4 linked regions of the Stegostoma tigrinum genome follow. Each later gene encodes a partner of the first gene's protein in a complex. Links are inferred from orthologs where the notes say so. Each region holds a gene or a part of one and is shown on either strand. Other genes may lie near its edges. The genes, in order: guanine nucleotide-binding protein G(i) subunit alpha-1, free fatty acid receptor 2-like, lpar1 and chrm4a.

Region 1 (6,832 bases):
ATACATAATTCCAGATTCACCACGTTCCGACATGAGCAATGACAAGATAACTGTTTTTAAAAAAAAATGACCATGAAAAATTGAGATTCTTGATTTTGAGGAAAAAGAGGTCAATTTTCCACATGAGGATTTAATGACTAGATGAGAATCTGATTAGCCAGTGGTGAGGGTCTTATTTGCATATATTAACATCTCATTATTACTTAATCCTTCTTCATTTATATGCACATTGCAATTTTCCCAGCCAGGAGTAAAAAATAGTATAGCAGCAATTCTCAGTATGAAAGTCAGTGCAGTTACTTGGTGGCTGCAACTTGCCGATGTCATTTTCGTGACTCTAGTTTGACCGTCATTCCCAGCATCTTCAGGTATGCTGCATGGGTGGTGAAAACATGCATCCTCTATCCAAAGAGGTTGGCATTGGTAAAAGAACAGCATCACCACATCACAATGGCATATCTTAGACTCATTTATTTGACATTCAGCACTTCAACACCATGATGCGACAGGCAGCTATCTCATGCATTGGAACAAGATACATCTCGGGACTCTTAGTTTGCTTTCTTATAGTTCATTTGCTTTGCAACTACTTCAATGCTTGCAGCATCCCTGCATTGCCTTTTTGCACATTGCCACTTAATGAGAACTTGTATACTCAAACTATTTCCATCATAGTTTGCCTTTTCACACAGACACAAAGCAAGATAACCTGTCATGCCAGCAATAATCAATCAAGGGAGTGGACATGTTGCTGTATGGCACTATGCTACATCAGTCTGGCACTTACACCATATGCTAATAGCTTATGGGAAAGACATATTTGAATCATTTAGAAGAGGAGGATTCTGGGTAATCCAAGACCAGGAGACTCATTGAGGAGCTGGGAAAATTCTTCCTAATGTAAGCTTTTGAAACCCTAACACTGATCCCTGTGAGACTCTAATAGTAGCGGCTTGCCAACACACACACACACTATTTTCTGTTTGGTAATGAATCTTTTATCCATGCTAGTATGTTTCCTTGACACCATTTGATCTTATCTTGAACAGCAACCTGATGTGGCACATTATCAAATGCCTTTTAGAAATCTAAATATATCACATACACTGGCTCCCTTCTATCCAATGTGGGTGTTACCTCATCAAAAAAAATCTCATAGTTCAGTTACGTATGACGTTCCTTTTTAGAAAGCAATTCTACTCAAATGTTGAGTGACTTTCAAAGTATCCTTGCTAAAATCTCATTATTAATGGATTCAAGCAAATTTCCTATGACAGAAGCTAATCTAAATGCCCTATAGTTTCCTTTATGCTTTTGTTCTTACTTGAATGTTACATTTACTACGCTTTCATTTGCCTAAACCCTTTAAGAATCTAAGGAATTTTGGCAGATAATAGCCAATACATCTTCCACCTGGGCTGCCACTTCTTTTTAAACAATAGGATGCAGGCCTTCTGCTCCTAAGGACTTGTCAGCCTTAAGATTTTACTTTACAGATTTATTTGGTAGTTAGCAGTTACTTGTTTTCTCAACAGCGGTAAAGAAGACACCAAATTTTAGCTCCCTAGAATTTTTCAGTTTCATGCTCAAAAGTCATGAATTACTTTTTACTATTTGACCTAATATTTTCTAATACTTACCACTTAAATTGTAATCGAACTCTTGCTGTATATAATCCTAAAACATTTGAGCAACTTTAAGTTCACATATATTGCTATATATTAATCATTACTGCTAATGACTCCTATCAGATTGAACCACGTCTTTAGTAAAACACAATTTATTTTTGTGTATATTTCTATTCGGATGAGATTCATTATTTTGCTCACATCAGTGTTCTGCCTTAGTAGTTCTCTCTGTTCAAACACAACAAATATTAGATATTATGTGGATTTGTTAATTTCCTAATTTCTTATGGCATTTAAAATTCAAGAACAAAAATTTAAAAGTAACTCGGACTTACTACTGTGTGAAAAATAACACAGCACTTTTTTTTTAAGATTAGATTCCCTACAGTTTGGAAACAGCCCTTTGGCTCAACAAGGCCACAGCACCCCCTTGGAACATCCCACCCAGGCCCATCCCCCTATAACCCACACACTCCTGAACACTGGGCAATTTAGCATGGCCAATCCATCTAGCCTGCACATCTTTGGACTGTGGAAGGAAACCGGAGCACCTGGACGAAACCCACGCAGACACTGGGAGAATGTGCAAACTCCACACAGACAGTTGCCCAAGGCTGGAATTGAACCTGGGTCCCTGGCACTGTGAGGCTGCAATGCTAATCACTAAGCCACTGTGCTACCCCAAATGAAAATGTAAGTTTAATACTCTCTCCAAGGAACCAATCAACATTATGAAAGAACATTATTTTGTTCCTTAAGAGTATCGACTATTCATTGATTTTCCTGGTCAGCAGTTCTTTACATTATTACCATATTCTCTTCAGGCATGCGTACAGTGTGAGTAGGATTGAGGCAGGAAAATGGTGTGTCAACAATGGTGGGCTAAAGGAAGGGAGGTTTAAGAACTTCTGAAATCAGAGGAAGCAAAAATAGCTGGAGGTTATTACAAAGGTAAAGTAAATATGTCATAGCAGGAGTTAAAAATGATGATAAAGGCTTTAAGTTTAATATTTTGGGGAAATATGGAAACATTCAACGAATGCGAAGGAAGCTGAGTAAGTGGATAGGACACATTTATGGAGAGTAGTGCATGATAGACTAGCAAGCGAGTATATGAATGGTCAAGCCTAGAGGATGAAAAAAAGGGCTGAATAGGGTTAGAAGGAAAATAATGTTACGTTGTTGAGGAAAGCATTCTTTATGGAGGAGATAGCACAATACATAATTCAAGTGATGTCCTGAAAAGCTCTTATGACAATTTCTCTGGTTTAGCCTGAGAGAGTTATTGGATTGGAGTTGGAGTTAGAACCTACTTAATTTGCTGAGTTTAATTTGTGATATGCAAAAGATAATGTGAGCTATGGTTCACTTGGTAGCACTTGTACCAATAGTCGCAAGATTCTGGGTTCAAGTTCCACTCCACATTTTTAGCACAAAAATCAAGACAGACACCATAGTGACAAACTGGAGTCCTATATTTGTCAGAAGTGTCACCTTTTGGATCAGACCAAGTTAAACTGAGTCCCCATCTGTTTGGTCAATGTAAAAGAACTTTACATTGTTTGGGTTAGGGTTATTTGGTAGAGATGATTCAGTTAGATGAATAAACTGTTTCTGTTCTTACGTCTTAATAGTCACATGACCTATATTTTGGAACTATTTTAAAAAACATGCTTATCTCCCCTACCCTGGCTGATTATAAACATCGCCTTTTTTTCGCTGTGAACAATCACATTGCTGTTTGTGGGAGTTTGCTCTGCTCATAAGTTTCCTACATTGGTCAGTACATTTCGAAAAGTACTACTTCGGCGTAAATTAAGTTTGTCACGTGGTTGTGAAAAGCGTGATAGAAATGCAAGTGTTTCTACGTTGATTTTTCTCCAGTCAGTACGGCCCATCTGTATTAAAAGACTTGAAGTGGGGACAGGGCCGGATAACTGAGAATGTTAGCACAGACAGACAGAATAAGATGAAAAGATGGGGTGAAGAGTTAGACGCCAGAATGGAAGGGGTGTGTGACACGGAACATCCAACAGCCAACAGCAAAAACATATTTACACAGGTCGGAAATCGGCCTTTGTGGCTGTTGCCATGGGTTACCAGCCGCTTCCGTTGAGGCGATGCAGGCGACGCGGGTCTGACATCCGGGTCCCAGCGCCAACACGGTGTAGTACCGCGCATGCGCCGCAAGCGGATGGCGATCGGGCAGTTGTTGTTTGGCGAAGAATAAATAAATGAATCAGTCACTTGATTAATTTATGAGTTAGAGCTTCGGGGGGTGGTAAGGGGTATCGAACTGCAGGGAGGAGCTGCCTGAGGCTTGTCCCGATATCCCCGGGCGACTTTTTCTGTCTTCTTTTTCTCTCCCCACCTAATTTTGAAAGTGTTGCCTGGTTTCTGGGGAAACGGAAGCCACTTGTGTCGGGGGGCTCTGAGAGGAAACTGCTGCTCACTTGGAAACGCACGGAGAGAAAGCTCAGCCAGCAAAATGGGGTGCACGCTGAGTACCGAGGACAAAGCGGCGGTCGAGAGGTCCAAGATGATCGACAGAAACCTGCGGGAGGACGGGGAGAAAGCGGCGAGAGAAGTCAAGCTGCTGCTGCTGGGTGAGTGCGAGTCGGGGTCTGGAGGGAGAGGCTGGATCTCACCGACTCGATGGGGGGGGGAGCGAAAATGGCTCTTCACTATCCCTGCTGCCCGCATCCGTTCTTAGACCGCAACATCTAACTCACGCTGTCATCGCAGCAACTTTTTTTTAAATGCTGGGTTCACTCTCTTCCCCACACCCCCCCCCCCCCCCCGCTACCTGCCGCATAACCACAGTTTTTTTTTCGAGTATTTTACAGGTTTAGAGCTTGCTATCACGGCTTACCATCCAGTCTTTTTCTCTCATTCCTCCCCCTGTTTAGTACCGAAACAAAAACCGTTTTAATTAAAAGAAAAGGATGCTGGAAATATGAAACAAACACGGGAAACGCTGGAAAAATCCGGCAGTCTGGCAGTGGGAGAGGGGAAGAGTTGATGTTTCGAGTTTAATATCACACTTGAGTCATATTGGATCGAAATGTTAACTCTTTGTGTCTCCTCAGAATTGTCGTTTTGCCCAAAAGCATCAGCAGCGCGCAATTTATCTTCTGTCCTGAATGCCCAATAACACCAGCTGCCGCTTATTTTATTGCCGGCTAAAACAGAATTTGGATTTTAAAATGTACAGGAAATGAAACAATAAGATATCGCTACTTTTTTCGGTCTGCTTTGGTTAATTAAGAAAGTTTCTTATAAACCATTAACCAATTGCGCGATGTGTTTTTAACTTGCGCTAACATGCTGCTGGCATATAATAAAATCGGTTGCCGAAACTGAAATCTCATACGTCTTAGTTTCATTAAAAATTCAAATCTTGCGCGCATCTTCTTCAAGGTTTAGACTTTTAGAATACACAATGGAGGTAAGCAGACAATGACATGAAGCATTTATTCATGAGGTTTCCGCGTTTAGTGAAGCTTAATTCTCTGTTTGATCTCGAGTAAGAGCGTTATGGAAAACCTATTTGCAAGTCGTCTTCACGTGGAGTATCTCGGTTTACTGAGTTCTTATGATAGTTTGATTTACTATTAAACATCACAGATTTTGGGTGTGTTTATTACTTGAACAATTATTTCTCGTTTTCAGGAAGCAGCATTGCAGCATTCATGATGTAAATAGTGGGAAAATACGTTATGCATAAATTCGTAAACATTTGTTTCTACAGATCACAATTTAAAAAGAAATGACCTTAATCGCAATTCATTATCCTGGCAAAACAATGAATAGTGAATATCTAAGCAAATCTAAACGTCTTTCTTTATGCACTTATTGTTAATACCATGGATTAAAACTAATGCCTTTCAATTTTGTGGTTTTAATATTGCATCCTGATGGTGCTATCGCTTGTCTTTTATTACATATTATAATTAGGATGATAATACAGGGATTCTGGTGAGGTTATTTTTAGTGTAAACTATGACTGTGTATTTGTTGTGTTTCAAAGCCAGTTTTCCAAAGGGAGTTGCCTGTTGAAAATTGGGAGACTCTGACAATCGAAATGTAGTTCTGTACATTGCTAGCTAATTTCAAGGTTCATAATGAATTACCTAATGAGACAGCTTTGAGATGTGTGCTTTGCTATGTCTTTTATTTATTCATTTCTCCTGTAATGAGAGAACATGTCTTGGAATAGTTTAGACAGATCTGTTAACACGTACTGTATTTGTTATAGCAATTGAGATTGTAACTGATAATTGGAATAGATAATGTAATAGCATTAGACTAGAACAGTGTTGTCCAATATGTTAGCTACCTTGTCAAATGAGCAAATTATTAAAATTAGCAATATAAACACCGTTGAGCATGTGATCTCAGTGCTCTTATTGTCATGGAGTATCTTCAGTTGTCACCAGTTTGTGCATTTTTTGGTAAAGATATAGAAGCCAAAGAGTGTGGATGATTTTTGGTTGAGTGTAGTAAACTTGGGAATGGAGCAAGAGATGATGTGGCCTATGAAGCCTGATTTGCCATTTGCTATGATCATAGCTGAACGTTAGGATAAACCTTCAATTTCTCACCTATTTCCTATACTCCATGATTACATGCAAAATTAAAATGCTATCTGTTTTAGCTTTAAATATACACAATGACGGAGCGTCCACAACTGTCTCAGCTGGAGAGTTCTAAGGATTCTTAAGACCAAAGTGGATAATGTCACACTTCTCTCAGTATACTCCATCTGTCACATTGTCCACTCATGTAACCTGTTCAAATTTTTTTGCAGCTGCGTTGTGTCCTTGAAACAACTTGTTATCCCACCTAGCTTTGTATCATCAGCCAAGTTAGACAAAGAGAAATGCATCTAAATCAAGGATGTAGTTTCTAAGTAGCTGATGTCCCAAAACTGATCCTTATGACTCTCCACTAGCCCCAACTGCCATCTTTCCTTGCTTTTCGCTGTTCTGCCCATCTTTATATGTTGCTCCCCCTCTCTTGTGTGTTAACTTTCCATGTGGCACTTTTTATTTGATACCTTTTGAAAATTGAAATATGCAGTAAGTTCTGCCAAAATGCAAGTTTTGTTAACAAATAGGCCGTAATGAGATTGTTGATAACGCAAACTTTTTGCTGTACAGATACAGTGATTCTCCTATAGCAATTTCCCTGTAACGCAATTT
Region 2 (7,077 bases), on another chromosome or scaffold:
TATAGTCAGGAGTTAGCCAGGGCCCTAATTTATCTCATTTAAAAGTGTAAGGTGCTGTGTTCCAGTGGTAATTTATTTGGTCCATGGCTAGGTTTAAGCGAAATACACTTTATTCTTACACATAACTAAAACACAAAAATAAAAAAGAGAATTGCTGTAACATTAATTCTATTGAAGTACTAAATAAATTATTGAACTACTAATCATCAACTATTCCAATAGAGGTAGCATCTCATAAGCGCATCCTTGACAAAGGCAAATTCAGCAAAACAGGTTTTCTTGCATGTTCCCTTTCTCTCCAGTGCAGGAGAAAGGACCAGCAAAAGAAACAGTCTAGCAGCAGAGAGAAGTCTTGAGCTTTTTGCTACTGCAGAGAGAGACAGAGTTGTATTTATCAGCTTTAACTGCCGAAATTCCAGCAGAAAGCAAAGCTAAAAAGCTGGGTCTGTGTGAACCTGATTCTGCCTACTCATGCTACTTCTGTCTAATTTACAAAAAAAAAGTTGTTTGCCCACTGCTTCTGAAGCATATATTCTGATACCACAGTGGCAAGCCCAAGAGAAACAGTACAGAACACATCTCTCTTCAAGGCACAGTGCTATCACAACTTGCGCTTGGAATGCCAAAGCACACAAGGCCAAGTTCTGGGAAATGGGATTAGAATAGTTAGTCACTTGTTTCTAGTCCAGTACAGACCAGATGGGCCAAAAGGCCTTTCCTGTGCTACAGATCTCAATTGCGGTACGGGAGGCTCAAGGTTACAGCTCAAGATTTTCAATCTTGCGAACTTCTTGAGTGCTAGAGGATGGAATGGCTGAGAGAATAGGATGGAACGTTTGCTTCTTTGAACATTCCAGACACTGGGGGTAGGAGAAGATCAGAGTTTGCAGGGGAGGGGCAGAATCAGTGGGCCAAATAGCCTCTGAGCAACTCCCATTGATCTTGTGCCTTCCTTGAGTGGGACAGACAACAACTTGGTTTCCCTTGAGGTGGAATTTACCGAGGAAAGCTTCGTTTATTCATTGAGGCAACAAGAGATTTTTCTGAACTGAATACACATGTGACAGGGTTTGAGATAAACAGAGAGGTGCTGAATCATTATTGTTAGATTTACTCTCTCAGTGCCTCAAGCAGCTAATCGTGACCTTTGTTTCTGTGGAAACACAGTGAAGAGGCACCAATGTGATCATTCATGATCCCAATGAAATGTTGACAATGGAATTAATTTCATAAATTAATCACCAGTCTGTGTTGGTGAAAGGCAGTTCCCAGGAACAGCTGCAGAGCATGACGTGTCCCTCCAAATTCTGGGAACAGCTGGTGTGCACAACACTATTTATTCGATTATCTGGCTATTAGTTTGACGATGGCATTAATCTTGTTGATTCTCCAACATCCCTGTTCTTCCTCCTGACTCTCTCCTGCTCTCTCTCTCTCTCTGGTGGTTAACTGCAGGACGGTGCTGAAAGAGAATCAGTCAAAGCCTCTTCAAACATCATCACTGGGATCCTCCAGCATGCGGTTTATGTATTTAATATCCTGCGGTTAGATGACACATGGAGAATTGTGCACAGTTCAAGTCTCCATATTCATTAGTGAGACATTCTCAGCACTGACGGTCCAACAGTACAGCACTCCTTCAGCATGGACCTTCCGACGGTGTGCCACTCCCTCAGCCCTGACCCTCCGACAGTGCAGCGCTCCTTCAGTACTGACCCTCGGCAGTGCGGTGCTCCCTCAGCACTGACCCTCCAACAGTGCGGTGCTCCCTTAGCTCTGACCCTTCGACAGTGCGGCATTACCACAGTACTGACCTTCCAATACTTGCCTCATTCCCTCTGCACTGGCGCTCCCTCAGTACTGACCCTCCACAGTGCTTTGCTGCCTCAGCAATAACCCTCTGACAGTGCGATGCTCCCTCAGCACTGATAACCTGACAGTGCAGCACTCCCTCAACACTGACCGTCTAAAAGTGCGGCATTCACTCTGCACTTACCCTACGACAGTGTGCCACTCCATCAGTGCTGAGCGTCCGACAGTACAGCACTCCCTCAGTACTGACCCTCCGACAGTGCAGCGCTCCTTCAGTACTGACCCTCGGCAGTGCGGTGCTCCCTCAGCACTGACCCTCCAACAGTGCGGTGCTCCCTTAGCTCTGACCCTTCGACAGTGCGGCATTACCACAGTACTGACCTTCCAATACTTGCCTCATTCCCTCTGCACTGGCGCTCCCTCAGTACTGACCCTCCACAGTGCTTTGCTGCCTCAGCAATAACCCTCTGACAGTGCGATGCTCCCTCAGCACTGATAACCTGACAGTGCAGCACTCCCTCAACACTGACCGTCTAAAAGTGCGGCATTCACTCTGCACTTACCCTACGACAGTGTGCCACTCCATCAGTGCTGAGCGTCCGACAGTACAGCACTCCCTCAGTACTGACCCTCCGACAGTGCAGCGCTCCTTCAGTACTGACCCTTGGCAGTGCGGTGCTCCCTCAGCACTGACCCTCCAACAGTGCGGTGCTCCCTTAGCTCTGACCCTTCGACAGTGCGGCATTACCACAGTACTGACCTTCCAATACTTGCCTCATTCCCTCTGCACTGGCGCTCCCTCAGTACTGACCCTCCACAGTGCTTTGCTGCCTCAGCAATAACCCTCTGACAGTGCGATGCTCCCTCAGCACTGATAACCTGACAGTGCAGCACTCCCTCAACACTGACCGTCTAAAAGTGCGGCATTCACTCTGCACTTACCCTACGACAGTGTGCCACTCCATCAGTGCTGAGCGTCCGACAGTACAGCACTCCCTCAGTACTGACCCTCTGACAGTGCGTCACTCCCTCAGCACTGACCCTTCGACAACGCGGCACTACTTTAGTACTGACCCTCTGACAGTGTGGCACTCCCTCCGCACCAACTTTCCAACAGTGAGGCGCTCCCCCACTCCAACAGTTCTGTGCTTCCTCAGTGTTGTATCTCCCTTTCGGTTTAATGCCTTTCATCTTCCCTGACTATATCATTGCTTGTTTTATTCTAGGATGTCCTGAGGGGGTGGGAGGTGCTAGCTGAATGTACGTGTTTCCTTCTTTCTGTCTCTTGCTGTCTGACCATATGTGACCAATGAATTCACAATCCTGTATTTCCTGTTACTGTCTGATATTTACCATCAAAACCAGCACAACAGGAACTCTGATGAACTGTTTGTTGAAGGATGTGTGTTTATCTGGTGGGTTGGCTCCATTCCCTGTGCAAATTATTTCCAAGAATTGACAACATGACTGCATGTGGTGTCTGTACTCCACATGCAGTAAGGCCATAGCTATCCTGCTTTCCAGGGGGAGGCCATTCAGGCCAGCAAACAAGTTCTGTCTCTTTGCAAGATCTCTGCAATCGGTATGGTGTCTCTCCTTGTCTCTCTCTCTCTCCTGCCACTGCCTCTGTGAATATTTCCTCTCCCAGTATTTAAATGATTCCATCATGCCACCCCCTTTTGAAAGTTCCTGTAAAATCTGCTCAGTCCGCTGTTTCAGGCAGAATGTTGCAGATTGCAACAACTTGCATTGAAAAATACATTCTACCTCACCTTCATTGGTTACTGCATTGAGTATGGAAGTTGGAACGTCATGTTGCAACAGAAGCAACTGCTTACTCCTAAACCTATCACAATTTTTCATAGATTCATAGAGTCACACAGCATGGAAACAGACCCTTCGTTCCAACCAGTCCATGCCGACCATAATCTCAAACTAAACTAGTCCCACCTGCCTGTGCTTGGCCCATATCCCTCCAAACCTTTTATATTCATGCACTTATCCAAATGTCTTTTAAGTGTTGTAACTGTACCCACATCCACCAGTTCCTCTGGAAGTTCACTTCACATGCAAACCAGTCTCTGTGTAAAAAAAAATTGTCCCTCATGACTTTTTGAAATCTTTCTCCTCTCACCTTAAAAATGTGTCCCCTACCCTTGAATCCTCCATTATTTTATAAATTTCTATCAGGTCACCTATCAAGCTCCTACTGAAAGCTCCACTGAAAGAGGTCCCAGCCTATCCAGCCTTTCTTTACAACTGAAACCTCCCATACATGGCAACTTCCTGGTAAATCTCTTCTGAACCCTCTCCAGCTTAATAACATCCTTCCTATAACGGGGTGAACAGAACTGGGCACAGTAATTCACACAGCAACTGATATGCATGTGGGGATGCTCTATCTGAGGGGGTGGTGGAGGTAGGTTCAGTTGAAGCTTTTGAAAGGAAAATGGATCATTGCCAGAAGCTCAGTCCTTTGAGTATAGGAGTTAGAAAGTTATGTTGAGTTTGTATGGGACATTGGTGAGGCATCTTCTGGAGTGGTGTGTCCACTGGTTGCTGGGTATGAAGGTTTGAGTTTATAAAGAAAGGCTGGATAGGCTGGGACATTTTTCACTGGAGCACAGGAAGTTGAGAAGTGACCTGATACAAGTTTATAAAGTAATGAGACGCAGAGATACAGTTAATGGTAATTGTCTTTTCCGTAGGATGAGGGATTTCAAGGTTAGGGGGCACATTTTTAAGGTGAGAGGAGAAAGATTTACGAGGCTTTTTTTTATACAGAAGTTGGTTTGTGGGTGGAATGAACTTCCTGATGAATTGGTGGATGTGGGTACAGTTACAAAGTTTAAAAGTTTATTGGATAGATACATGAATACAAAAGGTTTGAAGGGAGAGGGGCCAGGAGCAGGCAGGTGGACTAGTTTAGTTTGGGATTATGTTTGGTGTGGTCTGGTCTGTTTCCATGCTGTGTGACTGTACGGGAAAGTGACTTCTGAGCCACTGGGGTACAGAAGTAGTGCATGGGAGTAGCTTCCTTTCCAAACCAGGGATCGCAAGCACAGACAACAGCCAAACAGCCTCCTTCTCTGCCTTAACTGTCCAGGTGAATCTGTGGTTCACGAATATCTTGAACTAAGGAGAATTTCAAATCTCAATTGCCTCAAAGTGTCTGTTGACTTCATGCTCACTGCTCTCAGAAAGGGGTGGCTCAGTCACATCAATGGTATGGCTCTCCAAAACATTTCGAAAGGGGCACTGAAGGTCAGATAGCCAACGAGAGCCTCACCAGCAATGCAGACCACCAGTTTAACCAACTAAAAGGAGGTAACCATTGTAAGATGATGAGCAGTGCATTTCTCTCCAAAAAATCCTATTTATGTATAAACTACCTGAACAATTTAGCCTGTTCTGAGTGACAAGGGATGTTAAGTGTGTGCTGATAGGTGTAACTCAGAATCATGAAGAGAATGAAATGGCTTTTGTAAGGAAAATTGAACAAACTTTAATAGATATTAACTGAAATTAATTAATTTATTTGCAGCCGGCCAAGGTTTAATGTCCATCTGCACAATAAAGGCATTCTGTAAGTTTTGGATTTAGAGGGTATTTCAGATATGGTCACAAAATATCGAGGAGTTGATGCTAAAATGTCAAGACCTCACAGACAATAAGAGAATAATAGGGAAAGCGAACTACACCAGTTGATGATAGTAGGAACTGCAGATGCTGGAGAATCTGAGATAACAAGGTGCAGAGCTAGATGAACACAGCAGGGTCAGAGGAGCAGGAATGCTGAAGAAGGGTCTAGGCCCAAAACGTCAGTCTTCCTGCTCCTCTGACTCTGCTTGGCCTGCTGTGTTCATCCAGCTCTACACCTTGTTAATACAGGATGGATTTGGTTTATAATTTCACTGAAATCTTCTCCTGAAATTGATCAAGTCTCCTGATCACAAGACCATAACTTCTGGAGCTGGTCCGAACTGAAGTCTACACATCACTGTCATCACAGAGACTGAGATAGATAACAGGGAAAGCTGCTTGTTCACTCAGAGAAACAAAGCAGAAAACAACTGCTGCAGATCAAAATACATGTGGGAACTCATCGCAGGCAGTGCTGAAGGAATGCTGCGCTGTCGGAGAGTGAGTACTGAGGGAGTGCCACAGTGTGGGAGGGCCAGTACCAAGGGAGTACCGCACTGTCAGAAGGTCAGTACTGATGGAGCGCCACACTGTCCAAGGGTCACTGCTGATGGAGCGCCACACTGTCGAAGGGTCACTGCTGGTGGAGTGCCTCACTGTCGAAGGGTCACTGCTGGTGGAGTGCCTCACTGTCGAAGGGTCACTGCTGGTGGAGCGCCACACTGTCGAAGGGTCACTGCTGGTGGAGTGCCTCACTGTCGAAGGGTCACTGCTGGTGGAGTGCCTCACTGTCGAAGAGTCACTGCTGGTGGAGTGCCTCACTGTCGAAGGGTCACTGCTGGTGGAGTGCCACACTGTCGAAGGGTCACTGCTGGTGGAGTGCCACACTGTCGAAGGGTCACTGCTGGTGGAGTGCCACACTGTCGAAGGGTCACTGCTGGTGGAGTGCCTCACTGTCGAAGGGTCACTGCTGGTGGAGTGCCTCACTGTCGAAGAGTCACTGCTGGTGGAGTGCCTCACTGTCGAAGAGTCACGAATGAGGGAGTACTGCACTGTCAGACGGTATGTGAGAATGCTGCACTTTCAGAGAGTCAGTGCTGAGGGAGGGCTGTATTGTCGGAGGGTCAGTGCTGAGGGAGTGCTGCGCTGTCGGAGAGTGAGTACTGAGGGAATGCCACAGTGTGGGAGAGTCAGTACCGAGAGAGTGCCCTGCTGACAGAGGGTCAGTACTGAGGGAATGCTGCACTGTCGTAACGTGAGTGCTGAGGGAGTACTGCACTGTCACAATATGTGATCAGAAACAAAGTAGAATTGACTATTGCATTGTTACCTACGGAAAAAAGGTGAGTGAAAAAGAAAAGTATTCTAAACGTAACACTGTTTAGCTTTTGAATGTAGATTTGTTCACAGCCTCGTCTCCCCGTAGTCCCCGAGTAAGAAAATAAAAGAATGAATATTAAGCCTAGTGCTCCCTCGCATGGCCACCCAATATATTACATGCTAAGGAACCGGAGGAATAATTGGGACGATACTGAGTCGCTACACCCCTCCCTATGTCTGTAACCTCCACCAGACCCTATATCCCTGCCTATCTATCTCTATAACCTCCTCCAGCCCCCTACA
Region 3 (6,933 bases), on another chromosome or scaffold:
CACAAGGCGAGAGCAATTTATACTTTCACAACCTTCTCGAAGCAAATGCTGGCTCTGGTTTAAATGTCTGAATGAAAAGACCGTCTCACTGTCTTAAGCAGACAGTAGCTCCGCTCACACTGCGCCCTGTTTCCCCAGTCTGTCTCCGCCCACAATGCACTCTTTATCCCAACCTCTTACGCTCTCCGCCCCATTTTTCCCGGGTCTCTGTCTCTCCTCCCCGAGCCCAAACTGCCCTGTTTCCCCGCGTCTCTCGTTCTGCGGTCACACGACTCCGTTTTCCTTGGTCTCTCTACGCGTGCACTCCCACTGCGCTCTATTTTCCTCTGCACCCTCGAAATGCGCCCGCCCTACGCCGTTTTCTCACCCCCTGCTCAGCTCCCATGCTCGCTTCTTCCCCTCTCTGTCTCTTGCTGTGTGTGTGCCCACACTGCACTCCTTGCCCTGTGTGTGTGTGCGCCCACACTGCACTGCTTGCCCCGTGTGTGTGTGTGTGCCCACACTGCACTCCTTGCCCTGTGTGTGTGTGCGCCCACACTGCACTCCTTGCCCTGTGTGTGTGTGCCCACACTGCACTGCTTGCCCCGTGTGTGTGTGTGTGTGTGTGCCCACACTGCACTCCTTGCCCTGTGTGTGTGCGCCCACACTGCACTCCTTGCCCTGTGTGTGTGTGTGTGCCCACACTGCACTCCTTGCCCTGTGTGTGTGTGTGTGTGCCCACACTGCACTCCTTGCCCTGTGTGTGTGTGCGCCCACACTGCACTCCTTGCCCTGTGTGTGTGCCCACACTGCACTGCTTGCCCCGTGTGTGTGTGTGCCCACACTGCACTGCTTGCCCCGTGTGTGTGTGTGCCCACACTGCACTCCTTGCCCCGTGTGTGTGTGCCCACACTGCACTCCTTGCCCCGTGTGTGTGTGTGTGCCCACACTGCACTCCTTGCCCCGTGTGTGTGTGTGCCCACACTGCACTCCTTGCCCCGTGTGTGTGCCCACACTGCATTGTTTGCCCCGTGTGTGTGTGCCCACACTGCACTGCTTGCCCCGTGTGTGTGTGTGCCCACACTGCACTGCTTGCCCCGTGTGTGTGTGCCCACACTGCACTGCTTGCCCCGTGTGTGTGCCCACACTGCACTGCTTGCCCCGTGTGTGTGTGCCAACACTGCACTGCTTGCCCTGTGTGTGTGTGTGTGCCCACACTGCACTCCTTGCCCCGTGTGTGTGTGTGCCCACACTGCACTCCTTGCCCCGTGTGTGTGTGTGCCCACACTGCACTGCTTGCCCCGTGTGTGTGTGCCCACACTGCACTGCTTGCCCCGTGTGTGTGTGTGTGCCCACACTGCACTCCTTGCCCCGTGTGTGTGTGCCCACACTGCACTCCTTGCCCCGTGTGTGTGTGCCCACACTGCATTGTTTGCCCCGTGTGTGTGTGCCCACACTGCACTGCTTGCCCCGTGTGTGTGTGTGTGCCCACACTGCACTGCTTGCCCCGTGTGTGTGTGCCCACACTGCACTGCTTGCCCCGTGTGTGTGTGTGTGCCCACACTGCACTGCTTGCCCCGTGTGTGTGTGTGCCCACACTGCACTGCTTGCCCCGTGTGTGTGTGTGTGCCCACACTGCACTGCTTGCCCTGTGTGTGTGTGCCCACACTGCACTGCTTGCCCCGTGTGTGTGTGTGTGCCCACACTGCACTGCTTGCCCCGTGTGTGTGTGTGCCCACACTGCACTGCTTGCCCCGTGTGTGTGTGTGTGTGCCCACACTGCACTGCTTGCCCTGTGTGTGTGCCGCTCTGAGATCCGGCTTCCCTGAGCAGGGCGAGCCTGCTGCTGACGTCAGGCCCGTGCCGCCAGCAGGCTGGGTCTTAATTACTAACACATTTTGCTCGCTGCCTGATGTTAATATATACATACACCTTTTTCTGTTTTACGAAGTCTAAACTGCCATCCCCTCCCCACCTCTATTTTAAATACTAATCGTATTTTTCACATAGGGGTTGGGGCACGAAGGGGGAAGACAGATTTGTTCATCTGGTTTATTTTAGAAAAAGTCTTCCTGAAATGTTATTTCATTTATCCTGGAAAACGTGGCCGGATTCGTCAACTTGGCAATGACCGCCCTTTCTTTTCTATTTCTCTCTCATTGAATGTCTTGTATGTGTAGGTTGGAAACCTTATAGTCAGCCCTGTAAATAATAAGTGGGTGGAAGAAAAGATAGCGAATTGGTGAATGAGGATTTTGTTTTATTTAACATTCCTATTTCACCCCCAACCTCTTAAAAAGTTATTTGAGGTCGTCAATAGTTTGTCGCAAGTAATATGCAAACAGGATTAACATATCATATAAAGGAAGGAATATTGAATGAAGTTGCATGTTTTAAGTGTTTGCAAGGTTAACGTTCCCAAATTAGAAAAAAAAGTTAAGCTCAGTTGCATGTAAAATTCGCGAGGGAGTTGTTTCGTCTAGCTTTGATTATATATAAAAAAAACACAAGTGCAAAACACCAACTCGTAAAACTCAAAACATCGAACGTTTTGAGCCCAAGTTTATTTTCTCAATTCTCGGTCCAGGCGTTGTAGAGCTCCGAGCTCTGCAGCACACGGTCACTCGTTAAAACGCTTCTGTTGTAGAAGGCGTTTTCTGTTCAATCCGTGAGACCGCCTCCTTTACTCCTTGTTAGTGACTCGATGCCTCAGAAGCTTTGAGGTAAAACGGAACAGTAAAATGACTAGTTATCCCTCCTCCTCTGTAATAAGACTGAAATGGGAAGTCTAATGTGGAAATTATGCATGAAAACAGATGGCCTTGGAGCGATTCAATTGCCAATCCATTTCTTGCAGACAGTGCAGGAGAGGCAACTGGCCAATGACTTACAGCGAATTTACAGCACAGAAACGGATCTTTTCGCGACATGCTTAGCCTCCCACTCTGTTTAAGCCAGGCTATTCTTTTCTCTGTGTTTTTATTCCCATAACAGCACCAAGGTTACTCACCTCAAGCTTCTCAGCCACGGTGACTTCCACATTCCCACCGTTCCCTGAATAAAGAGGTTTCTCTGGAATTCCTGATTGGGTTTATTACAGACCTTATTAGCAATGACTGTTTAAATATCTTCTCTGCGCCTGACCAATCAAATTCCATTCAACAATTTAAAGACTTGTTTTAGGTCACCTCTCCCACTCCTGTCTTTTCAAAGGTGGAGAATCCTGGCCTTCCTGTTGGATATATTCCCTCTGTTGTTATTATTTGTTGTGTAAATCTGATTAAAGGTTTTACCCTCAAAGATCAATTCTCGAACTCTCTCTCTCTCTCTCTCTCTCTCTCCACAGTTGCAGCCAGATTGGACTTCCAGCATTTTCAGTTTTTGTTTCACATTTCCTGCTGGTTTGAGTTTGTATTAGTGTCTAATTCTGCCCCTATTCAACGGTTATCGATGTTGAAATTAATCAGGCCGTGAATTAAGCAAACACAGGCCTGGTTTCCAATTCTGATGACTCTGTTCAGCCTGCCAGGAACAACAGAGATTGAGTGAAGACACAATGAGGTTCAGTTGTTGTGCTGTTTCCATTTGGTAAAAAGACTGCCAAGTCTCTCGCTGGCAGGACAGACCCATCAGAGGTGGTGGCACAGTGGTGTACAGTCAGAAGGGATTTGCCCTGGGAACCCTGAACATTGACTCCAGACCCCATGAAGTCTCATGGCATCAGATCAAATATAGGCAAGGACACCTCCTCTTGATTACTGTGTACACTTCACCCACCTCAGCTCATGAATCAGCACATCTCCATGTTCATCACCACTTGAATGAATTACCGAGGCTGACGAGGACACAGAATGTGTTGAGTGGGGGACTTCCATGTCCAGCACCAAGACTGGCTCATTAGTAATACTGTTCACTGAACTAGGTGAGTCCAAAAGTGTAAAGCTGCTAAACTGGGACCGTAACATGTGGTGAGGGAGCCAACAAGTAGGCAAAATATGCTTGACCTCGTACTCACCTAGCTTCCTGTTCCATGACACTATCAGTTGGAGTAATGACCATACAGTCCTTGAGAAAACAAAGGCCCCCCTTCACGTCAGAACACCCTATATCATGTTCTGTGGCACTACCACAGGAGGTCATGTACATATAGCACCAACTATATCCAAAATTGAAGTGTCAGCATGATGAAACTACAATGTCGGACTATATCCCTGGCAAGCAGCTTGAGCAGCATGCTAAGTGACCCTATAACCAACAGATCAAGTCTAAGCCCTAGAATCCTGCCACATCTAGTTATGAATGGCTACGGACAAACAACTCACTGGAGGAGGAGATGCCACAAAAATTCCTTTCCTCAATACCTTGCATTACAGGCCAAAAGCCAAGTAATTGTGAGCATTTTCGATCAGAAGCGCTGAGTGAATGATTCCTCTTGACCTCCTGAGACAGCATTTGACTGAGTGTGGCATCTCGGAGTATTGGCAAAACTGGAGTCAATGAGAAATAGTAGGAACTGCTGATGCTGGAGTCTGAGGTGACAAAGTGTGGAGCTGGAGGAACACAGCAGGCCAGGCAGCGTCAGAGGAGCAGGAAAGCTGACGTTTCAGGTCTGGACCTTTCTTTTCTGAAGAAGGGTCCAGACCCGAAACGTCAGCTTTCCTGCTCCTCTGACGCTGCCTGGCTTGCTGTGTTCATCCAGCTCCACACCTTGTTATTGGAGTCAATGAGAACTGGGTGGAAAACTCAGTGCTAGTTGGAATTATATGTGGCACCTGGTCAGTCATTTCAGGTCCAGGGCATCTCTGCAGCAGTTCCTCAGGTCTTTCAGACACTCTAGCTACAAGAACTGATCAGAGGCTGGGAATCCCGTGGTGAATACGCACCTTCTGACTCCTCAAAGCCTGTTCCCACTTACAAGACACAAGTCTGAAGTGTGACAGAATACTTCCCACTTGTCTGAATGAGTGCAACAATACTAAAAAAAAAGCTCAATGCCATCCAGGATAAAGCAGCCTGCTTGATTGGCTCTCCATCTAATACCTTCTACATTCACTCCCTCCACCACTAACTCACAATAACAACAGTATCTACCATCTACAAGATGCAATGCAACAACTCACCAAGACCGCAGAGACAGCATCTTCCAAACATACAACCTCTACCACAAGAGCTGCAGAAGGCCAACAGCAGCAGTTTCTCTCTAATCCTCTCACCTTAGAAAAATATTGCCATGCTTTCAGTGTCACTGGGTCAAAATCTCAGACTTCCTTTCCCAACAGCACCATGTGTGTGCCTAACTCACATGGATTTCAGCAAGGCCTTTGACAAAATCCCACATGGGAATCTGATAAAGGAAGTAAAAGTTCATTGGATCCAGGATAATTTGGCAAATTTGTTCCAATATTGGGTTGGCTTCGAGGCAGGAAATGGAGAGGTTGGAATAAGATGTTTGTGAGACTGGAGTCTGGTGTCCAGTGGGAATCCATAGGGATCAGTCACTGTTTGTGATATTCAGAGAAGACATACATGAAAATGACAGGGGAATGGTAAGTAAGGTTGTGGATGACACAAAGATTGGCCGTGTGATTGACAGTGAGAAGGAAAGTCAGGTGTGCCGATCAGTAGCACAAGGAATTCAATCCTAATAAATATAAGGTGAGTCACTTCAGAAGAAATAATAAGATAAGGGAGTACCCAATCAATGGTAGGACACCCAAAAACTCAGGGAACAGAGAGATTTTGAGATGCTTGTCTGTAGATCACTGAACATGGCAGGACAGGTTAATAGGGTATTTAAGAAGGTATACATGTCATTTGCCTTCATCAGTTGAGATATTGATTATAAAAGCAGGGGGGTATGTTAGAGTTGTAGAGTACTTTCCTTAGACCACAGCTGGAGTACTGTTTGTAGTTCTGGTCACCGCCCCCCCACAATAAGAAAGATGTGATTGCATTAGTGGAATGCAGAGGTGATTAACCAACACATTAGTTGGGATGGAGTATTTCCCTGGGTTTCATAAGCTTGGGTTTTTTTTTAAGAGCCAAGAAATTTGAAGGGGGACCTGACTGATGTGCATAAGATTATGAGAGGCATAGATTGGGTGAAGAGAGAGTGACTGTTCCCCTTAGTCAAAGGGCCACTAAGGGGACATAATTTTAAAGTGAAAGGCAAGAGGTTTTTTTATATAGGGGAAAGCCTTTCTCAACCAGAGGATGGTGGGGTCTGGAATTCGCTGCCCGGAAAGATAATTCAGGCAGGAAACTTCACAACCTTCAAGAAGTACTTGGATGAACTTATACTTGAACTTGAACATTCAAGGCTGTTGGTCTAGCGCTGGGAAGTGAGACTAGTGCAGTAGAATATTTTTCACAGTACAGACTTGACAAGCTGAACAGCCTTAACTGTACTATATGATATCTGTATAATATCTGTATTTCCCAGTCTGAAATATATTTAATGACAATGTTTCAACAGTCCTCTGGGGTAGAAAATTCCAAAGATTTATAGACTTTTGAAGAAGAAATTACTTCTCATTGTCGTCCTAATGAATCCTTACTCTGAGAATGTACCCCTTTGTTTATGATTTTGCCCATGGGAAGTAACAACTTAATGTTTACTCTGTAAAGCCCTTTAATAATTTTGAATGTTTTAGTGAGATCATTTTGCCCAAACTCCAGAGATTATAGATAGTGGCTCAGTAGTTAGCACTGCTGCCTCACAGTGCCAGAAACTGGGATTCATTTCCTGCCTTGAGCGACCATCTGTGAGGAGTTTGCCCATTCTCCTCATGTCTATGTGGGTTTTCGCCGGGTGCTCTGATTTCCTCCCACTGTCCAAAGATGTGCAGGTTAGGTGGTTTGGCCAGGCTAAATTGCCTGTAGTGTTCAGGGATGTATAGGTTAGGTGAGTTAGCGGGAAAAGGGGTAGGGGGCTGGGTTTGGGTGGGATGCTCT
Region 4 (7,076 bases), on another chromosome or scaffold:
ACATGAGATTTAATGGGGCCATTCCCAGATAGGGGTAATGTCAACATTTGGGTCAATGAGGAGCTAAGATTATTCATTGTAGAGGGTGACCTTTAATGGGAGATGAATGTTAAGCATGTGAACAGGTTTGTTTCCACATTGAAGCTGTTATCCGTTGATTAGTTGATGATGAACTCAAGATTAGAGCCAAGCAGGTCAATTTAAGATTGGAACTGACTTTCTGATTGATGGGGGCAAGCTTGATCGAAGCTTTTGTTTCTTTTATTTTTACTTTGAGCTGTCCCTCTTTAGACAAGTGTTATAGACTGAGAAGTTGTATTTCTGAAAATTGGATTCCTCATGGAAGCTATTGGATTGGATTTTGATGTAGAAATGCAAGTGATCTTAACAGCATTTACCATAATTTATACACAAAAAGTATACGCACTGTGATTGTAATTGCTGGAATGTGGAAGTTGCTGTCAGGGTTGCCCAATTTCTTCATAAGCTTCCCAATTTTACCATTTTGCCAACTGGCACAGCACTTACATAAATTGGGCAGCATTACACTCTTATCCTCACCTCATAGATATCTATAAACTTCAAAAATTGTAAGGGTTCTTCCTTTTCAGTATAAATACCTTAGAAGTTGTGTGATAAATATTTATTGCTGTCAAACAGTTTCATTGGTGATTAAATTAAGTTTTACAAGTGCAGAGTCTCATTCTTTCACCTTGCAGTTATGGTTGAAAATCTCTAGACAAATTGAAATAACTTATTTTCATGGATAATCATGTAAGGAGGCTATTGGGCCCTTTGTTCCCATGCTAGGCTTATCACATTAATCCCTCTGTCCTACCTGCCCCCATAACCCTGCAAATTCTTTACCCTCAAGACTTTAGTTGAAGTGATTCCATGGCAGCTCCAGGCAGTGCAATCCAGAAGACAACAAACTACTGTGCAAATATAGTTTCCTTGTGTCACCTCCAGTAATTTGCAATCAGATATGAGTGTATTCCCTTTGGTATTAGTTACAAATATATTAAGTACAGGATTTGTTCTAGATGGGCTTTTAATCACACATAAAATAGTCTTATGTAAGTTTAATAAACCAATGGTAACATATCTACAGAATGCTCTAAGTATGCTTGTGTAAGCTGGGAGTGCTCTTAGCCAGTTTGCTTTGATATAGTCTCATCAAAGACTGTTTAATATGGACCAGTTCATTTAAAAAAAACTGGAATTCTGTGAATTACATTAGGAACCGAGAGATCAAGAGATGTTTGTGGCAAGGTTAGAGTGTTTTTGAATTTTGAGATTGTTTCTGCTTGACTCCTGACTGCAGTTAATATACATTGTGGTTTGATTGCTGACAATTGAGTTCAGCTGGACTGTACAGTATTTGCTTTTCTTTTGACTGTGAAGCGAGTCTTACCATCTATTCCTTGCTTTAATGATGGATTTGGGGTGTCTTAGTGTTTAGGGATTTTTGAAACAGGTGGATTGATTACTCATTGTTGGATCCACGATGTTCAGCTTGCTTCACTGATTGGACTTAAGTGAATTACTTATGAGATGGTTCTGACCTGGACTAAGGGTGATCCTAAGGTTGCTGTGGACTATTACAGTAAAGAGTTCATTCAAAATTTTAGTTTTTACTTGCTGTCTAATCCATTCACCTGAGGCTTGTTTGCGCTACCGGATGGATCCAGTGTAGTGATCATTTCCAGGAAATGAGATTCTCCATCAATTATACTTGTTTGGATCTGAATGTTACACTTTAACCCCCCGTTTCAAATTCGGGCAGTGAAATTTGCTAGGAAGCACCATGCAATCAGAAAACAACATTGTTAGTTAGTTGCCAAAGTTAAGAGCAATTTTCCTGGTGGCTTGGTTGCTGGAAATTTTGAAGGGGAAACTTGGTCATAGATATTGGACATTATCCCAACATCATGAGAGGCAAGCTTATGTAAAGCTGACATAGGGTGAAAATAACTCAAATTACGTTAAACTCAATATATGATGGATCCAGGAGTTTTAAGTTACAAACCAGTTTTGAATTAACTTACGAAGTAAGAATAAAGGGGAAGCCTTTGTCAACATGACATTCAGGTGATTCAAACAGAATACAACTTCCATTGTAAATCAAATGGATCTTAACTAGTAAAAGTCTACAGGTTTCATTCTCCTGATGGTAAACACGAAATATCAGAGATCAGACCAAACAAATACTGCTGCTATTTATAAAGCAGACCACCAAGACAAGTACGTTTTCACTATGGTTAAAAGATTTGCTTTGACTTGGGAAGGGTGTGTCTAGTATTTTATCAGTGAGAACATGAGAAAGAACGGTGCAGGCATCTCAAGAGACAAACGCGCTTTTTGATCGATCAGAAGAACCTTGTATTTTCCCGTAAGGTTCAAAGTTGTAGGAAACTTCCACTTAGCTCTCAGTTCGGTTTCGGGCGCTGAACAAGATAACGGCAGCCCGCATACCAATCTCAGGCGTGTTTCTGTAATACTTCCAAAAGGAAGCATCATCTGAGCGAGAAGCCACACACTGACCGAGCGCAGCGCGGATAGCTAGCGGGCATTGAAGACAACCTGACGGGCAAGGTAATAGATGTCAGCACTTACTTGAAACACTCCGCCGCCTCCATATCTGCTATCGTAAGAACTCTTGAAGTACGGTTACAATCCTTGGGAGGATTTGCCCAGGACTTGTTGGAGCTGGAATCGTTGCGCTACCTGCCAGTCCGTCTGCTGGCTGGGAGTTACGGACAAATTCTTCGCGCATCTGTCGAACCTCTTTTGGAACATTTTCTGAGTTACTCTTGGGGAAGGACACGTCTCGCCCCAGCCCAGCCCTGTCCGCCCTACTTGGTCGCCGCCCTTTAAGGGGGCTAGGGAATAGACTTCCCTGCTCCCATTCAGCCGCGTTGGGAAAGCCGGTGGAGACTGAGGAGGATGTGATGCCGCCCCGTTAAATCACTGACTCTTTCTTCAGTCCAGAGAAATAGCGGCAAGCCAATAGCGGTGATGTAATGCAAATGCAGCCAATCATCAGAGTCTCCCCATCCCCAGGTTAGAATATACATTAATCCCCCACCAAGCACAGAGGCTATTTAACGCTGAGGACTGTCAAATTGGAGCGGTTCGGGACCATTAAATTATCCAGGCTCAAGGATTTACGGGGTTCTTAATAATCGGCTGCCAAATTGCTTTTATTTTTTCTCTGCACCCTTCACAAATTTGAAGTCTGTGTATCCTTTTTTTGGGGGGGGGGGCGCGAGGTGGGATGCAGTGCGGGGAATGGAAGTGCTGGCTGACATCGCAGATAGAAGGGAGGTGAAGTCAGGGGATGATAGAGCAGTGAAAGTTAGCACATATCTAGGCGACATGCCCACTGCACTCAAATGTCCAAAGCTCACAAAACGGAATAGAGATGAAGCCATGTGCGGTTTTATGTGCGATTGCAATTGGGGAGCGGGTGTTCCCGTCGTAGAAAGTGGTTCGACTTTGTGAAGATCTTTCTTACTTCACAGCCTCACTACCTCTGTGTGCATGTTGTGGATCACCCCGGCTCCGAGTGACCTGGGAGAGGGTGTGGGACAAGGGTTAGGACAGGGGCTGGGTAGAAACTGTTGCCCTGAAATTACCCTTGGGCACAGGTCAGCCGAGGCAGCCAAGAATTTTGGCACTGGCTACTCACACTTGATTTCTTTTCACTCCAGCCTCCCATCTCCTTCATTCAGAGCCTCCTGCTACCCCTACATCAGTGGCAGTCATAACAATGCAGCACTGAACAAATGTGTGTATCAAGGGATGACTATGGGATTCATATTGAGAGAAGAGCATGTATGGAATGCGATGGCTAAGTATAGGGGCACAAAGTGAGACCCTACAAGCTTGCCTTTGATCCGATGATCTGTTTACAATAAACACAGTTTCAGAACTAGTTGCTTGGAAATTATTTACATTGAAAGCTAAAATTTGTTTTTTTTTCTTCTTTAAATCATTTAGGACCTTCTAAAATCTTCAATGTTTTCATCATTCAGGGATGAGCATGCATCCTGTTAGTGGAAGTGTGTGGGAGCACCTCGACAACTAAGCAGGTAGCACTTCCTGCAAAGAGCAAAAGTACAATTTTAAGTCTCTAAAGAGACTTGTGTCAATTCTGTTAACCCCTCTCTGACAGGTAACCCCCAGCTGTAACCAGTGCACTGAAACACTGAGTGCCGAGGCTACCCTTAATCCTAATCCTAACATCAGAAATTACCTCTTGCTAATCCTACTGTTAATTCAAATCCAACCTCAAAACTCCTGTCACATCAGTCTGCACCAGCCTTTTTTTATAATCTTATACTCGTTCCATGTGGTCAGGTTGATAAAGGTCTCTATTACAGGGTTGGTGGGGGCAGAGGAGTGTTTAGGAGAAGGAGGTTAAGTCGCTAGGAAGGGAAAATTTGTATTTCTAAATGAATGACATTTTTGTATCCCAAGAGAGTCGACCAACACTGTGAGCATATTGCTCTTTAGAATAGTAGCCATCCTGGTTTCCATAGCATTTCTAGCTCACACATTATTCAATCTACCTCAGTGGTGCTCTGTGCTGCAAAGGAGTTTCCTCTTGCCCTACTTTATTTAAGTCTGTCAGCAAAACCCTTTTATTTCCTCCACATGTGCTTTTCTGACTTTTACTTGAATACACCAATCTTCCTCGCCTCTATATTTGATATAAGTAAAGTTAGACCCTATTGATTGATGCGTGCATGCTATCTCTGTCCATTAACAGGCAACATTGCAAAGAGGTCTAGACATCTCTCAGTCATCTTTGTCTACATTACAGCTGACAGACTACAAAAGTAATTGAATCTCTTGCAAATCTATACATTCACAGTGCAGGGAAATTGTTATGTTAATATTCTTTGTCACTCCTGATTAACCTGCATGTATTTCAACCATGAATATTCCCTAATGTAAAGCCCCACAGAGCCCTGAACGATTCCAAAGAGGAAGCCTTCCTTGCATGTATCGTCACAGTTAGATTTCTGCATTAATTCAGCAAAAACTGGGCTGTTTAGCCTCGGTAATTTATTTCTCAGTTTCATGGGCTGGCCTCGTGTGTGATTTATTTACGAATGTGATCTATTTGTGCTTCATATTGCTACTTTCACCGCACCATACAATGAGCTTCTTGACGCAGTCCCTGTATTTTGCAAGTTTGTTTAGCAATCAACATTTCAGCACCGTGGACAAGGACTCAGGCTCATGTCGCTGCCCGTGGTGCTGACATCGCCCCATTTACAATAAAACTGACATTTCGGGTCGAGGCCTTTGCTGCTCCTCCGAGGCTGCTTAGCCTGTTGTGTTCATCCGGCTCTATACCGTGTTATCTCAGATTCGCCAGCATCGGCAGTTCCAACTATCTCTGCAAAATTGAACGCAGTCTCGCACACTGAATTCGCGCAACAGTTCTTAAAAGCGCCGCGACGTCTCAGTTTGAACCACAACACACAGTCATGTCCATAGGTCTACAGAAAACATAATACGAAGTGAATAGATATCAATCTCAGGTCAGTCAGAGCGCTGTGACCTCTAAGTGAGAAGGATGTGGTTTCAAGACCCACTTGATTTGAATACGTACTTCAGGTTGGCACTTTCAGGCTAGCAGTGGGAGAATGGTGCGAGGCGGGAGATTCTAACTTTGGATTTATTTGATCAATCGAAGGCCTCTTCTACCTCTCAACTGGGTCTAAAAACAGGTGGTTAATGAGAATTCTCAGCGGTGTCTTAACCAAAAGATATCAAACAGCTAAGCAAACAGATTGTTTTGTTACCTGATGTGCTCCAGTTCTTACATTTATAGTGTCTTCATTTCAAAGGGGCGCTATTTCTGTAAAACCTTGCGCCATCTCGAGCAAAAGTGCATATATGTGGCAAGTTTTTCTTTAAATTTGGAGGGGGGGGGGAACAGTTGCTGGGCAAGGACAAATCATTGAAATTGATTATTGATGAAACAATTCTTTGATTGTTCAACTCGTCCATAGACTGTCGCTCAGTCCTTATTTTTCTCTTTATTTGGACAGCGTTGGGCGAGTCAACTCATATAACACTGTGAGATGAATTATAACAAACGAATGTATTTGAGAGAACCGCCGAGTCGTGATATCCGTGGTCAAGATAGTTGTGTTTCTGTTGTGTCTATCTTTTACTGTCTCTCTCCCCCGTCGCTCTTGTTAAATAAAGTCAATGTTTTAATGAAATGACCTAACTGTCAAAGTGGGTAAACAATGATTCTGAAGTACCGCGGGCGTCCACATTAAATTAGTGGCGTGGAAAACTTTCAAATGATCTTCCGGAAGCCTGCATCTGAGATAAATGACGTTTAATTATAATTCAGTACTGCAATTGGGGATAAAGCAACTCGGGTTTTTTTTTTGAACGATGACAAAGGTAACACAGAGACAAGAACGTACTAGGTTTTGAAGAAGTCTCCTCTTCGGGATGAAGTTTAGTGTAGCTGGCGGGGACTTCTCTGAATTGTCTGGTTTATGCGAATGCAGGACGCTTTACTTGCCTGACAGGATGGGCAGGATAGACTGTAAATATTCCCGATTTATAGCCCAAGGCAGCGAGAACAGACAAACAGAGATGTCGTGGCGAGTGTTTTGTTTGACGTTTCTTTGTTTGAGATTTCTTCTCGCGGGAGATGCGGAATGGTTCATTCGCGTGTAACGGAATTGAAAATTAACTTTGCTGCTTCAAGGGCCATGGGATTCAGCCGTATTCCCGATTTAGCCCATTTTTGCTGAACAGAAAGGGTTTTGCAGAATGTGGAAAATTCAGACAGAGTGAGAGAGAAATGCAGAGAAATTCACGGGAGACATAGTACTTGAACCTGGGGAGGGCGGTTGAAGTCGAAGTGATGGTGAGAAATAACTGTTGAAAATACTAAATCAGAGCTGCAGAAAATATCAGCGTCAGGGGTGTGCACGGCGATGTCAGATCCACGTGAAAACTACACAGAGCGAGAAATGTGACGGCTCCCAAGGTGGGTGGGTGGGTTGCGGGAGAAAGTGGAGAGGGGGCGCAAG

Evidence for each region.
Region 2: the proteins of guanine nucleotide-binding protein G(i) subunit alpha-1 (region 1) and free fatty acid receptor 2-like are in contact, whole or in part, in a cryo-EM structure (PDB 9NS9), measured with the Homo sapiens proteins. The link is inferred for Stegostoma tigrinum from reciprocal best matches to the Homo sapiens genes GNAI1 and FFAR2. Residues at the interface, in NP_002060.4 of Homo sapiens: Glu28, Ala31, Arg32, Glu33, Val34, Asp193, Leu194, Phe336, Thr340, Asp341, Ile343, Ile344, Lys345, Asn347, Leu348, Asp350, Cys351, Gly352, Leu353, Phe354; in NP_001357016.1 of Homo sapiens: Gln40, Ala42, Val44, His45, Glu106, Arg107, Gly110, Val111, Pro114, Val115, Tyr117, Lys118, Leu119, Ser120, Arg121, Arg122, Phe202, Met206, Gln209, Pro210, Leu211, Val212, Arg216, Arg219, Ala220, Leu223, Ala224, Phe273, Ser276, Ser277.
Region 3: the proteins of guanine nucleotide-binding protein G(i) subunit alpha-1 (region 1) and lpar1 are in contact, whole or in part, in a cryo-EM structure (PDB 7YU7), measured with the Homo sapiens proteins. The link is inferred for Stegostoma tigrinum from reciprocal best matches to the Homo sapiens genes GNAI1 and LPAR1. Residues at the interface, in NP_002060.4 of Homo sapiens: Ala31, Arg32, Leu194, Gly217, Val218, Thr219, Tyr320, Gln333, Phe334, Phe336, Asp337, Ala338, Thr340, Asp341, Val342, Ile343, Ile344, Lys345, Asn346, Asn347, Leu348, Asp350, Cys351, Gly352, Leu353, Phe354; in NP_001338326.1 of Homo sapiens: Ile84, Tyr85, Arg146, Thr149, Val150, Arg152, Met153, Gln154, Leu155, His156, Tyr225, Tyr231, Val232, Arg235, Thr236, Arg238, Met239, Thr252, Ser255, Leu256, Thr259, Arg314, Asp315.
Region 4: the proteins of guanine nucleotide-binding protein G(i) subunit alpha-1 (region 1) and chrm4a are in contact, whole or in part, in a cryo-EM structure (PDB 7TRK), measured with the Homo sapiens proteins. The link is inferred for Stegostoma tigrinum from reciprocal best matches to the Homo sapiens genes GNAI1 and CHRM4. Residues at the interface, in NP_002060.4 of Homo sapiens: Arg32, Leu194, Glu318, Tyr320, Phe336, Asp337, Ala338, Thr340, Asp341, Ile343, Ile344, Lys345, Asn347, Leu348, Lys349, Asp350, Cys351, Gly352, Leu353, Phe354; in NP_000732.2 of Homo sapiens: Asn67, Arg130, Cys133, Val134, Pro137, Leu138, Pro141, Ala142, Ile218, Ala221, Ser222, Ser224, Val226, Arg394, Lys397, Val398, Thr401, Ile402, Cys456, Asn457.

What each region holds. Positions count from the first base shown.
Region 1 is NC_081378.1:25,784,718-25,791,549, forward strand, and holds the start of guanine nucleotide-binding protein G(i) subunit alpha-1, read left to right. Parts: upstream 1-3,807; 5' UTR 3,808-4,116; coding exon 4,117-4,234; intron 4,235-6,832. UniProt on the Homo sapiens protein: Guanine nucleotide-binding proteins (G proteins) function as transducers downstream of G protein-coupled receptors (GPCRs) in numerous signaling cascades.
Region 2 is NC_081394.1:5,993,428-6,000,504, forward strand, and holds the start of free fatty acid receptor 2-like, read right to left. Parts: upstream 3,009-7,077; 5' UTR 2,887-3,008; intron 2,076-2,886; exon of another isoform or gene 1,997-2,075; intron 1-1,996. UniProt on the Homo sapiens protein: G protein-coupled receptor that is activated by a major product of dietary fiber digestion, the short chain fatty acids (SCFAs), and that plays a role in the regulation of whole-body energy homeostasis and in intestinal immunity.
Region 3 is NC_081356.1:31,129,487-31,136,419, forward strand, and holds the start of lpar1 (lysophosphatidic acid receptor 1), read right to left. Parts: upstream 3,012-6,933; 5' UTR 2,990-3,011; intron 215-2,989; exon of another isoform or gene 1-214.
Region 4 is NC_081370.1:1,508,625-1,515,700, forward strand, and holds the start of chrm4a (muscarinic acetylcholine receptor M4), read right to left. Parts: upstream 3,004-7,076; 5' UTR 2,617-3,003; intron 1-2,616. UniProt on the Homo sapiens protein: The muscarinic acetylcholine receptor mediates various cellular responses, including inhibition of adenylate cyclase, breakdown of phosphoinositides and modulation of potassium channels through the action of G proteins.